Linked DNA regions of Elephas maximus indicus. The protein of the gene in region 1 interacts with the protein of each later gene in a pairwise test. Links are inferred from orthologs where the notes say so. Each region holds a gene or a part of one and is shown on either strand. Other genes may lie near its edges.

Region 1 (3,745 bases):
AGCCCTGGTAGTGCAGTGGTTAAGCAGTTGGCTGCTAACCGAAAGGTTCAAACCCACCAGCCGCTCTATGGGGGAGAAAGATGTGACAGTCTGCTTCCCTAAAGGTGACAGCCTTGGAAGCCCTATGGGGCAGTTCCACTCTGTCCTGTAGGGTCGCTATGAGTTGGAGTTGACTCAATGGCAACAGGTTTGGTTATACTGTGTAAGAGTAATGTTGAACTACTCTGGTTTAAGTGATTGTTCACAGCATATTGATTTTAGAAATCACATTCCCAAAGAAGACATGCTTGTTTTATTTTCTTCTTTTAAGTATGAGTCCTTCAAATCTACATTTCTTTTTTTCCCCTCAAGTTCAATGGTTACCATGAAAAGGCATCATGATCATTTAATATTAACTAAATAATTTTCACTGTAGTTTAGAGCTGAAAAAATGGGTTTATACTGAATTGTAGAAACAGAAGATGTCTGGAAAAAAACTCCTGAGGATTATTCAGTATTAAAAAAAAAAGACTTGTTGCTATCGAGTTGATTCCGACTCATAGCAACCCTACAGGGCAGGGTAGAACTGCCCCACTGGGTTTCCAAGGCTGTTAATCTTTACAGAAGCTGACTGCCACCTCTTTCTCCTGCAGAGCCGCTGGTGGATTCCCACCTTTGACCTTCTGGTTAGCAGCCTAAGGTGCTTAACCACTGCACCACTCAGTATAGGCGTTAAGAATGTTTTCTCTGGAATGTGAAATGAAATTCTAGCTCCCCAAATAACAGTGTCTACTTCTACCTCTACCTCCATAGTGTTTTGGGGAGGATTAAGTGAGCATGTATGTTAAGGGTTTGCCAGTGCCCGACACATGTAAGTATTCTCCCAATTGACAGCTCCTTAGTAATTATGCCAAAAAGGGCCACTGGCTCCAAATTGAGGGCTGCTCTAAGGTTGCTCTCCCGAGGCAGCATCAGCAAGAAATCCAGCGCAGGCCAAACAGGAATGTGTTTTTAACTGAAAGCTGAACGGCAAATTGAAAAAGTAGGTGAAGTTAAAAAAAAAAAAGGTGCCTGCCATTTCACATTTCAGTCACTTCATTTGGTATCTGGTGAGCTATAAATAAACATTTAAAAAAAAATTAACACCCAACAGAAAAAAAAAGTAAACTGGGTGGTAAGACAGAGGGATAGGGTTTGGGCAATGACTACGACTTCTGAGCGCATGGGTTCAAAAACACTCCTGCACTACTGTAGGCAAGGCACTTAACTGTTTTGGCCTCTGTTTTCCTCATCTAGAAAATGGGAGTAACAAAAGTTCCTGCCTCGTAGAGTTACAGTGTGAACTAAACGAGAGCATGTCTGCAGAAGGCTTGCCACCGTTCCTGCCACAGGGTGGTCCCACCACTAACTGCAGCAGCTGACACTCAGCACTGGTCACTAGACGCGTGACTATTACCCCTAGACAGGGGCCGCAGGAAGTAAGGAGCCTGGAAAAGGTGGGTGGCACATTTTTCTGTGCCGCTTTCTGTCTCCGAGGACTGCGGGGAGGATTAAACGAATTAATCCATGGAGAGCGCTTTAAACTGCGCATGAGGCATACAGCGCACTCAGCGGCACTATTAGTGATTATTCCTATTATCACTGCGCAAAAAGCCCGGCCGTGGGTCCCTCGCACAGGCGTCCTCCCGCGCGCTGCGCGGGAACCCCCGGACTCCACGCAAGGCGAGCGCGAACCCTGCCGCCACCTAGGCAACTCTGTCACAGCTTCGCAGCCGGGAGAAGCCGCGAGCCTCCCAGCCCTCGGCGCCGCGGGGCGAGCGCCCCCCGCCAGACCACCGCCCGCCCGCGCACCCGCGCACCCGCGGCGACCTCGCCCTCACCTTGCTGCAGGTCCCGATGGTCGTACCACGGCTCATCCTCCTTCAGCTCGAACTCCTCCACCAGGTTCTCCGCCAGCATCTCGGCCGCGTCTTCCGGGGGCAGCGGTCCCCGCCGCCGTCCCGCCTCAGCCGCTGCCCCGGGCCCTCCGCCCTCAGCCAGAGCCGCCCTCCGGCGGGCGGGACCCGCCGCCGCCCCGGCCCCGCCGCGCCGCCGGAACAGAGCCACCCGCCGGCCTGCAGCGTACGCCTCGGATGGGCTTCTCGGCTGGCCTGCACCGCCCCGTGGCCCCAACGGCCGGCGCCCCGGCGCGAGCGGGGGCCCCGGCTGGCGCCCCAGCCGGCTCGCAGCGCCGCAGCCGAGCCCAACGTGGCACTTTGGCAGAACCCTCCCCGACCGGGGCTGCGATTCAAACCCCAGGCGGCGCCTCGGCCAATCGCAAGCTGGCAGCCGGTCGAGCGGCGGCGAGTTAGTCCAATCGGGTCTCACCAATTGCCCGCGGCTCGACCGGTCTCAAGGGCAAACAGCCAATGGCGCCTTCGGAAGAAACAAAGAAGGCGGGAAAAAGAGAAGGGGTGCGGCCGAGATGCCCCGCCCGCCACTCTGCGTAGTGGAGCTTCTGGGAGTAGTTGGGTCCCTGGAGGGGTTGGGGCGGCTGCTCCTGTGTGTGCGTCCGGCCGGCCAGTCAGCCAGTGGACGCGGCGGCCGAAGGGTGCTGGCAGGCTGCTTGGGCATGAGGGCGAGGAGTTTGGGCACTGAGCAGTGGGCGGTGGTCTGGCGCTGTCTTCATGCAGGCGGGAGGCGCGAAGGGGGCCGGGAGCCCCAGGTCCCTGCCTGGCCTGCCCGTTCTTGTCTTTTGTCTCCCAGGTTTGCCCTCGCTGGTGCGGGGAAATTAAGAGTCAATCGGGAATTTGAGGCCGAGGAAGATACCCTCGGAGTGTTAGCTGTTTTTTCCCTTAACGTCTGTGTACTCATCCCCACACCGCTGGGAATTTTACTGGCTCCCTGTAAAGCAGTACGTCCCAGCACCACTTGAGAATCTACTGGGCAAAGAGGTGCCGTTGGAGCTATCTCCTTAGGAAAAAAAAAAAAAAAATTACAGTTTGCATATGAATATAAAAGGTTAGTAGACCACTAGTTAAGCATCTGAGGTCATGACATTGCACCAGGAGGGGAGAGAATGCAGCCCTAGCACTAGTATGCTGGCAGGGCGTGGACGCTGTTCACACAGACATGCTGTAACAAGCAAGTGCTGCACAGGGGTTTTCGGCTGTTAGCATCATCATGTAGAGAAAGAACAGAAGCCCATACATATATAGGGTGACAGACCAGAAAGTCAGTGTTCATCAACCTTAATGTAAAAGTAAAAGGCACAGTTGAAAGAAGGAGGGAAAGACAGCGTCTGACAGAATGGAAGTCAACATACTATCTTATGTTTATGGAACAAAAATTGAGGTTTAAGTGTTTTATTCAAAGATTATCTCTAGAAGAACTTAAACCCAAAAAACCAAGCCCATTGCCGTACGGTTGATTCTGACTCATGGCAATCCCACGTGTTACAGAGAGAAGGGCTTCACAGGATTTTCTTGAGCGCGCTGGTGCTTTGCTAACAGCTTGGCTGCTAACCAAAAGGTTGGTAGTTCGAATCCACCAGTCGCTCCTTGGAAACCCTATGGGGCAGTGATACCCTGTACTACAGGGTCACTGTGCACACTTTACTGTGGTTAAAAAATAAGGGAAATTACGCGGAAGGAGTTAAAGATTCTCAAACTATGTTGTTGTCCTATACAAATGAATAAAGACTTCAGTAATTTCAATGAGGACAAAAACCCACCCTAAATATTCTTGTGGGTATTAAAATTTACTGTGTCTCTCCACCTTCCTATCT
Region 2 (3,745 bases), on another chromosome or scaffold:
TGTCTAGTGCCAGCCCTTGAAACCTGCCAGACCCAGGGTGAAGATAAGTGCCGAACAGAACCAGCCTCAGAACCAGTGCTCCAGGAGGAGAGGCTCAAGCCAGCCGTGGATGCTATAGAGGAGACAGGCCCCAGACCCCTAGCTTCCATTGTGAGGCCCAGTCATGGTCTGAAGAGAAAGCCAGTCAAGTAAGGGGGCTTTCAGAGGGAAGGGGCTGCAGGGATGGGAAGTGGGGCTCACACCCCAGCATTCCTAAAGCCTGCACTCCTGTAGGGCAGACCCTTATCCCCTGCCACCACCATCACTTCCCACCTCTTTTGTCCCTCAAGAGTCCTGTTAGAGAGCACCCAGAGAGAGGGAGCCTGAAGGTCTTGGAGGGGACTGAGCTCATATGCTCTGGGCCCCTGCTGGCCTGGGGGCCCTCACTGACCAGGAAAGTGGTAGGTATCTGGCCTGGGTGGTGGGCAGGCAGGGCTATCCCCTAGGCACGGGGCACAGGCTGGCTCCTCAGGCTTCCCGTCCATGGCTGTGGTCCCCCAGCCTCCCCAGGGGCTAGTCACCATGCCCATCCTAGGGCCGAAGCTGAGCTGCCATTGGGTCTGCTGCTGCAGAAGGGGGAGCCAGAAGGTAGCGAGCACTCACCATCCTCCAAACAGCACAAAAAACCTAAGAAGCGCAAGAGTCTGGGGGCCCCCGCACTCCCAGCTACAGTTAGCACCGTGTCTGCCTCCTCAGAGACCTTGGGGCTAGAGCGTGAGTGGCAGCCCTGGGCCTCCCCTTTCTCCCCTGCCTGCTGGTCCCCCTAAAACATGGCACAGCCTGGTGCTCCAGCCCTGCCCTATCCTGGGTCTTTTCAGGAAAGGCCCAGCGCCTTCGACCCCTGTACCAGTACATCAACTATTGCAACCCTGAGCTGAACCAGGCAGGGGAAGGGGGTAGGGAGGCAGAGGCCGAGGTGGAGCCCCAGTCGGAGCTGGCCCTGGTCCCCATGGAGGCGGGTGTGGAGCAACTGCAGGCCTTGCCGCCCGTGGCAGGTGAGCTGGGCTTAGACCTTGCTTTTCCCTGCCCCAAAATGTTAGTGCCTCCCACCCACATTCTGGATCCCCTGGCAGAGGAGGCTGGAGAGGAACCTGGGGGTCTGCCCAGCTTGGGGGTCAGCAGCCGGCTCACGGCCGAGGTGGATAAATCAAACCAGGTGGACATCAACAAGATGCTGAGTGTTTGTGCTGCTCCGCTTGTGCCCCCGCTCTCTCCTCAGTACAAGTGACTGTCCTGCCCCACTGGTGGCTCCCCTCCCCCCAAGCCTGAACCAGAGCAGCAGCCTCTGGGCCTAGGCCCTCAGGTGGAAGGTAGAATTGGCCCATGCCCCCACTTGCTGGAAACTTGGGCTTGCTGACAATAAACATTTTTTCATTTTCTGAGACTGCGAGATTACCCAGTGCCTGGTTTAAAGCCCAACGGATCATCTGAATACTTGGGAACTTGACAAAAATAGATTCCTGGGCACCACCCCAGATCTCACTGAATCAGAATCTGAGGGGTGGGGCCTGGATTCTATGCAGTTAAAAGCTCCTCAGGCTGACAGTGAGGGATCAAGGGGGAAGTGACTAAGGAGGGACTTGGAGCAGAGAAAGGGTCTGTGAGGCCACAGGAAATAGGGACTTGCCCTTGTTCCCTGTCTCCCAGGGAGGTGACCTGTATTTGGTCTGACTTGCATTTGTGGACCAGCACTTAGGAACCCCCCTCTGAGGTGGCACAGTTCATATGACTGTCTGAAGAGTGGCAGACTTTGGAACACTTTCCATTTGTTGCCAGGCCACAACTGGAACAGACCTTGCCCAAGGAGTGGCCTCTGGTGACAGCAGTGTCCATGCCTTTTTCCTGGCAGGAAGTGGTATAGGCAAGGAAGGATCTCAGCCTGACATTCTGGAGAGATTGCTTGGGCTTCAGTGTGAAGGACAGAATGAGGAGGAAGTTACTGGGGACAGGGAGGTGAGGAGGCTGTGATTGTCTAGGTGAGTACAAGGCCTAGATTTGGTTTGGAGTTGGATAGTAAGCAACAAGTATTTTGGAAGCGCTCACCTGGTTGCTGCTCCGAGAGAAAACTCTAAGAGGTTCAACGTATTTTCACTGGCCTGGTAAAACCTTGTTTACTTTGACCAGAGGAAGAGTTGGCTGACATCCTGATTTGGGAAATAGGTTCTGGGAGGTGGTGATGCCACCTTCCTCCAGTAGGGGCCACTGCAGGACAAGCCTGGAACCACAGTTGCAGGCTCAGTCACCCCTAGGGACCAGAACCCTGCTGGCTTCCTTGGCCACAGGCACGCATGTGCGCCATTTCAAAGCCCACCTCCTACTCCTCTGGTCATGGATCTAGGTTCTGGGGGTGTTTCCAGAGAACCAGGGGTGCTCATAAAAGTGGCCCCAGGGCATCTAGAAATCTGCCTTGGTAAACAAAGAGCTGGCGGCAGATTCCTCTAAAAACTTAAGTGCCATTCTGAGTCAACAACATGGCACTTTCTTGTGCAGAAGCATCTGAGTCAGGCCCAATGGATATCTGTTTTCTGGGTAAATCCCCAAATTTAGGAGGGACCTAGTAGGACACCAGGGGACAGACCTGGAGCTGTGACCATCATTCCCAGGAGCAGGGTGGGTAGACACTCACTCTTTAACTCTTCACTGTCAGCATCTTGCCTGGCAGTGGGGTCTCTGCAGTCCACCTCCTAGCTCAGGCCAGGCTGACTCCAGCTATAGGGAGAAGGCAACAATCTGGCTGAATACCCCAGTGGGAGTGGGGGCAGCAACATATGTGCAGTCAAGAGTCTGAGAATTCACCAGTGCTGGAGAAATGGGTAGTTCAGGGTTAGGCTCTGACTGGTCCTGACTGGGTCTTGGCTTCATCACTTATAGCTTATACAATGCAAGTAGTTTTGGCTTTCTGTGCCTCAATTTTCTGATCTGAACAATGGGAATATTAATAATACTACCTCATAGAGTTGTTTAGAGATTAAAATAAAGTACATGAAGTGTCTACCCTGGGAGGGCCCAGCATGCAGTGAACACAGTCCAACACTACTCATTGTTTTATCTCAAAAGGATAATAATTTGCAACCAGGACAATACAGGAAAACAAGCCTGGTGACTTCTATAAGGGGTGCCAAAAGGAAAAGGAAGCCCTCCTAAGCCTTTCTGGCAAGGAGCCAGGGCAGAGCAGAGAGGGAAGGTTAGAGAAGGGAACAGAGATTGGTCCAGGCTTAACAATCCTGGCAGGCTGTCAAAGCGAGACAAGAGAACAAAAGGGATTGAAGGACCTTCTCCCAATACTCACCCCACCTCTGACTTACATGGTAAAAATGACTATCCCTGTGTAGAACACAGTTCATAAAAGGCTGGCTGGTTAACTAGCTGGCTGGCCCAGGCAGCTTTCAGCTAAACCACTCCAAGGGCCAATGCATGGAGCCCTTCCTCTTCCAGCCCATTCCCTCCAGCTTCTCTGGAAGTACTCCTCACCTCCTCTCTTTTGAGATTCCCTTGGTGCCAACTCCAGGATTTGAAGAACAGAACTCCCTCCTGACCCCAAATTGTCTCCCTGTAACTGTGGGCCTCACAGGGCCTCCTCAGGGAGTCTTGAGTCCTGCTCTCTGAAGAAAGACGTTTGTTTGGAGGAATCTTAGGACTTGGCCATGAGGGCCACAGTGACAAGAGCAGGGCAGTGGCCAGGGCCGCCCCCTGGAAAGTGAAGGGC
Region 3 (3,745 bases), on another chromosome or scaffold:
GACAGCCGTTTAGGGCCGGTGATAGAGGAGGCTAAAGAATGGGGCTGGGAAGTAGGGGCTTGGGTAGCGGGTGGCTGAGGCTCTGCCAGGCCCCAATGTGGAGGGCACGGCCTTTTACAGCCTCGTGGCGCACAGGGAAGTCGCTGCTTGACGCACACCAACCCGGGTGGGAGGAGTTGGGTGGGTTGGGTTGTCAGGTGGGTGGGGTTGTCGGGTGGGAGGAGTTGTTGAGTGTGGGAGGTGTTGTCGGGTGGGAGGAGTTGGGTGGGTTGGGTTGTCAGGTGGGTGGGGTTGTCGAGTGGGAGGAGGGGTTGGGTGGGTGGGGTTGCCGGGTGGGTGGGGTTGTCGGGTGGGAGGAGTTGTCGGGTGTGTGAGCAGACGGGGTGTGTGTGTAGTCGCTGCCGGGCACCCGCGCCTGTCGGGTGTGTGAGGAGACGGGGTGTGTGTGTGTGGTCGCTGCCGGGCACCCGCGCCTGTCGGGTGTGAGGAGACGGGGTGTGTGTGGTCGCTGCCGGGCACCCGCGCCTGTCGGGTGTGTGAGGAGACGGGGTGTGTGTGTGTGGTCGCTGCCGGGCACCCGCGCCTGTCGGGTGTGAGGAGACGGGGTGTGTGTGGTCGCTGCCGGGCACCCGCGCCTGTCGGGTGTGTGAGGAGACGGGGTGTGTGTGTGTGTGGTCTCTGCCGGGCACCCGCGCCTTCAGCCCCGCGGGAGCTCGGCGGCTGGGTGGCGTTGTCGGGTGTGTGAGGAGACGGGGTGTGTGTGTGTGTGGTCGCTGCCGGGCACCCGCCCCTTCAGCCCCGCCTGAGCTCGGCGGCTGGGTGGCGTTGTCGGGTGTGGGTGCAGACGGGGTGTGTGTGTGTGGTCGCTGCCGGGCACCCGCCCCTTCAACCCCGCGGGAGCTCACCGGCTGACGGCGGGCTCGCACAGCCACCATGCCTGTCACTCGTTGGTGGGCGGGCCAGGCACCGCCCACACTAGGCTTTTATTGGTCACTCATGAGCGGGCCAGCTAGCGGCCTCCTTCTGATTGGCCAGCTGCTGGTAGCGGTCAAGTCAATCAGAAGAGGACTTACGGCGCTCGTTGGGCTCCTCCGGCTCCCGGCGGAGCTGCGTGAGGTAGCCGCGGGGCCGACCTGGCTACCGTTCCGAAACAGCGGCCCTGCTCTACTCCTGCACCGCTGTCATCCCCTCCTAACACATTATTTCAATTAATAACAATAAAAATGCGCTGTTTCTTCACAAAACGAGTTGCTTCGCTAGCAGGATGCGAGCAGTGTGCATTCAAGCGGCGAGACGCCCGGAGGGGAGGCGGCGGCCTGTTCCTCCCGCTGACCTTCTGACCCGCTCAGCAGAACCAGCACCTACTCTCGCCGGCAGGCGGCGCGCCCGCGTCTCCCGGCGCGCGGCTGCTTTCCGTGAATTCTGGCCCCCCGCGGCCCCCGTAGCGTCTCTGATTACCGCGCCCCTGGTAACCGCCTGCCGCGAGCGAGCCGCCGGGGGCCGGGGGCCACACCAGCTTCCCCGTCCCGGGCCGGCGCGGGCGCTGAGGCCTTGGCGGGGCGGCGATGGACGCCTCGCATGAAGCGGCGGGGCTGGCGGCCTCCAGCCACCAAACCCCGATAAACCCCAACAGCGGGGTGCGGGTCGCCCGGTACAGAAGGGAAGACCTCATAGAGGCCCTGGCGGCGGCGGCGGCGGCCTTGGAGGAGGCGGAGCAGGAGAAGACGGTGCCGTCGGCGCGGGCGTCGGTACTGCGGGCTGGGTGCAGGGCGGGACGTGGGCTGGGTGCGGGCTGGGTGCGGGGCGGGACACGGGCTGGGGGCGAGGAAGGTGCGGGGCGGGACGCGGGCTCGGTGTGGGGCTGGACGCTGGCTGGCTGCGAGGAAGGTGCGGAGCGAGACGCTGGCTGGGTGCGGGCTCGGGCTGGTGTGGGTCCCCTTCCAGCTTAGGGACAGGCTGGGAAATGCGCTCCCCTGTCTAGATCTTCCTGGAAGGTAATTCTCTGCCCAGTGATCCTGGCCCACAACCTTCTCTCAGCCCCCACGAAAAACACCCAAAACCGAGGCTTCCAAAAAGTCTTTTAATTTTCACCAAAGAGGTTGCAGTAAAAGTTTCTAGAAATTATTTCTAGAAAGAGCAAAGCACAGAACTTTCCTCCTTATGCTTTGGTGTTCCTTGGGAACGGATACAGTATTTCCTTTAAAAAAAAGAATTTGAAACCTGTGTTAGTCATTTAGTGCTGCTGTAATAGAAATACCACAAGTGGATGGCTTTAACAAAGAGTTTATTCTCTCACAGTCCAGTAGGGTAGAAGGTCCTTGTCCTCAGTCTCCCCATGGTCGGGGAACTTCTCAGGCGCAGGGACCTGGTGTCCAAAAGAGGCGCTCTGCTGGTGCTGCTTTCTTGGTGGTATGAGGTCCCCAACTCTCTGCTTGCTTCTCTTTTCTCTTGAGAGATAAAAGGTGGTGCAGGCCCCACCCCAGGGGAACTCCCTTTACATTAGATCAGGGATGTGACTTGGTAAGGGTGTTACAATCCCACTCTAATCTTTTTAACATAATATTATAATCACAAAATGGAGGAGCACCACAGAATACTGGGAGTCATGGCCTAACCAAGTTGATACATACGTTTTGGGGGGAACATAATTCAATCCGTGACACTGATCTCCTCCCATGAAATTGAGTTGATGACCCATGAAAACTTAAGTGAATCAGCTAAGCTCTCAAGTGTGTTTGGTGGATCTTAAACACACTACTTTAGAGGCAGGAGTTTAAATCATCAAGAATTTAGTGGATAGACCAGACACAGATATAGATAAGACCAGAGAAATAAATTACTGAGGTGCCAGTGTTTCCTAAATGGCCTTCTGGATGGAGCAAGACAGCCTTTTCACTGATCAGTTTTCACTGTCACATGTGTCATGGACACCTGTCCACCAGGTGGAGGGCAGAGTCTGCCATCTGCTCTCTTCACTTAAAAGATGAGAACCTTGCAGATATAAAACTCTCCACCAGATAAATCCTTTTAATACTATATGTCTAAAGCTTCTCACACAAAAAACATTTTGGTGTAGGGCTGTTAGAAATCACTGGATACTTGGAATTCTGATGTCTTTACACTACAGCTGTTAATAAGAAATCTGTAGCAGCACCTTTTATGTTCAGTATTTCACCAACAGACATAAACTGCTTGAGGCTGTCCAGAGTTGGGCAGATCGAGACCCAGCACAGGATCAGAACACTAGGACCATATTTGCTCATGATAAAGCTTCCAGTCAACACAAGTTGCAGTAGGCAAGCAAGGGAATAGAGGAAGAAGACTAAATGGAGGACAAAGCTTTGGAGTTCTGGATTAGAGTTTGGGCTCTATCTCTTGCTAGATGATGCTAGGACTTAACTTCCTTAAGTCTCAGTTGCCTTATCTGTAAAAAGGACTAGTGTAATAATTCTCTCTCTCTCCTGTCTCAGTGACTGAGAACCAAATGAGAGAATGTGTGTCATATCTAAAGACATGCTTATATAAATTGGCAATCATAATAGCAACTACCCATGGGACTGTCATTGCAGTGACTCACCCAAAGATGAAATTTTGTTTTGGCTTTCTGTGGTAGAGGAGCTAGTCATTTCTCTGGCTGCACTTATACTTCCAGAGTGTCCTGATAAACTGTAAATTTGTATTAGAAACTGTTATTACCTTTGGAGAGTGGAGAGATTAGCTTACATGGTTCTGAAAGGGCAGGATC

Evidence for each region.
Region 2: the proteins of CDR2 (region 1) and ENKD1 interact in binary tests that used the Homo sapiens proteins (3 or more experiments, as listed by UniProt). The two-hybrid records come from large-scale screens. The link is inferred for Elephas maximus indicus from reciprocal best matches to the Homo sapiens genes CDR2 and ENKD1.
Region 3: the proteins of CDR2 (region 1) and FAM161A interact in binary tests that used the Homo sapiens proteins (3 or more experiments, as listed by UniProt). The two-hybrid records come from large-scale screens. The link is inferred for Elephas maximus indicus from reciprocal best matches to the Homo sapiens genes CDR2 and FAM161A.

What each region holds. Positions count from the first base shown.
Region 1 is NC_064830.1:82,439,927-82,443,671, forward strand, and holds the start of CDR2 (cerebellar degeneration-related protein 2), read right to left. Parts: upstream 2,213-3,745; 5' UTR 1,939-2,212; coding exon 1,860-1,938; intron 1-1,859.
Region 2 is NC_064839.1:34,136,382-34,140,126, forward strand, and holds the start of ENKD1 (enkurin domain-containing protein 1), read right to left. Parts: upstream 2,680-3,745; 5' UTR 2,666-2,679; exon of another isoform or gene 1,268-2,665; coding exon of another isoform or gene 858-1,267; exon of another isoform or gene 754-857; coding exon of another isoform or gene 541-753; exon of another isoform or gene 197-540; coding exon of another isoform or gene 1-196. UniProt on the Homo sapiens protein: Microtubule-binding protein which regulates microtubule organization and stability. Promotes the stability of astral microtubules and facilitates the proper orientation of the mitotic spindle.
Region 3 is NC_064844.1:481,933-485,677, forward strand, and holds the start of FAM161A (protein FAM161A), read left to right. Parts: upstream 1-1,455; 5' UTR 1,456-1,565; coding exon 1,566-1,748; intron 1,749-3,745. UniProt on the Homo sapiens protein: Involved in ciliogenesis.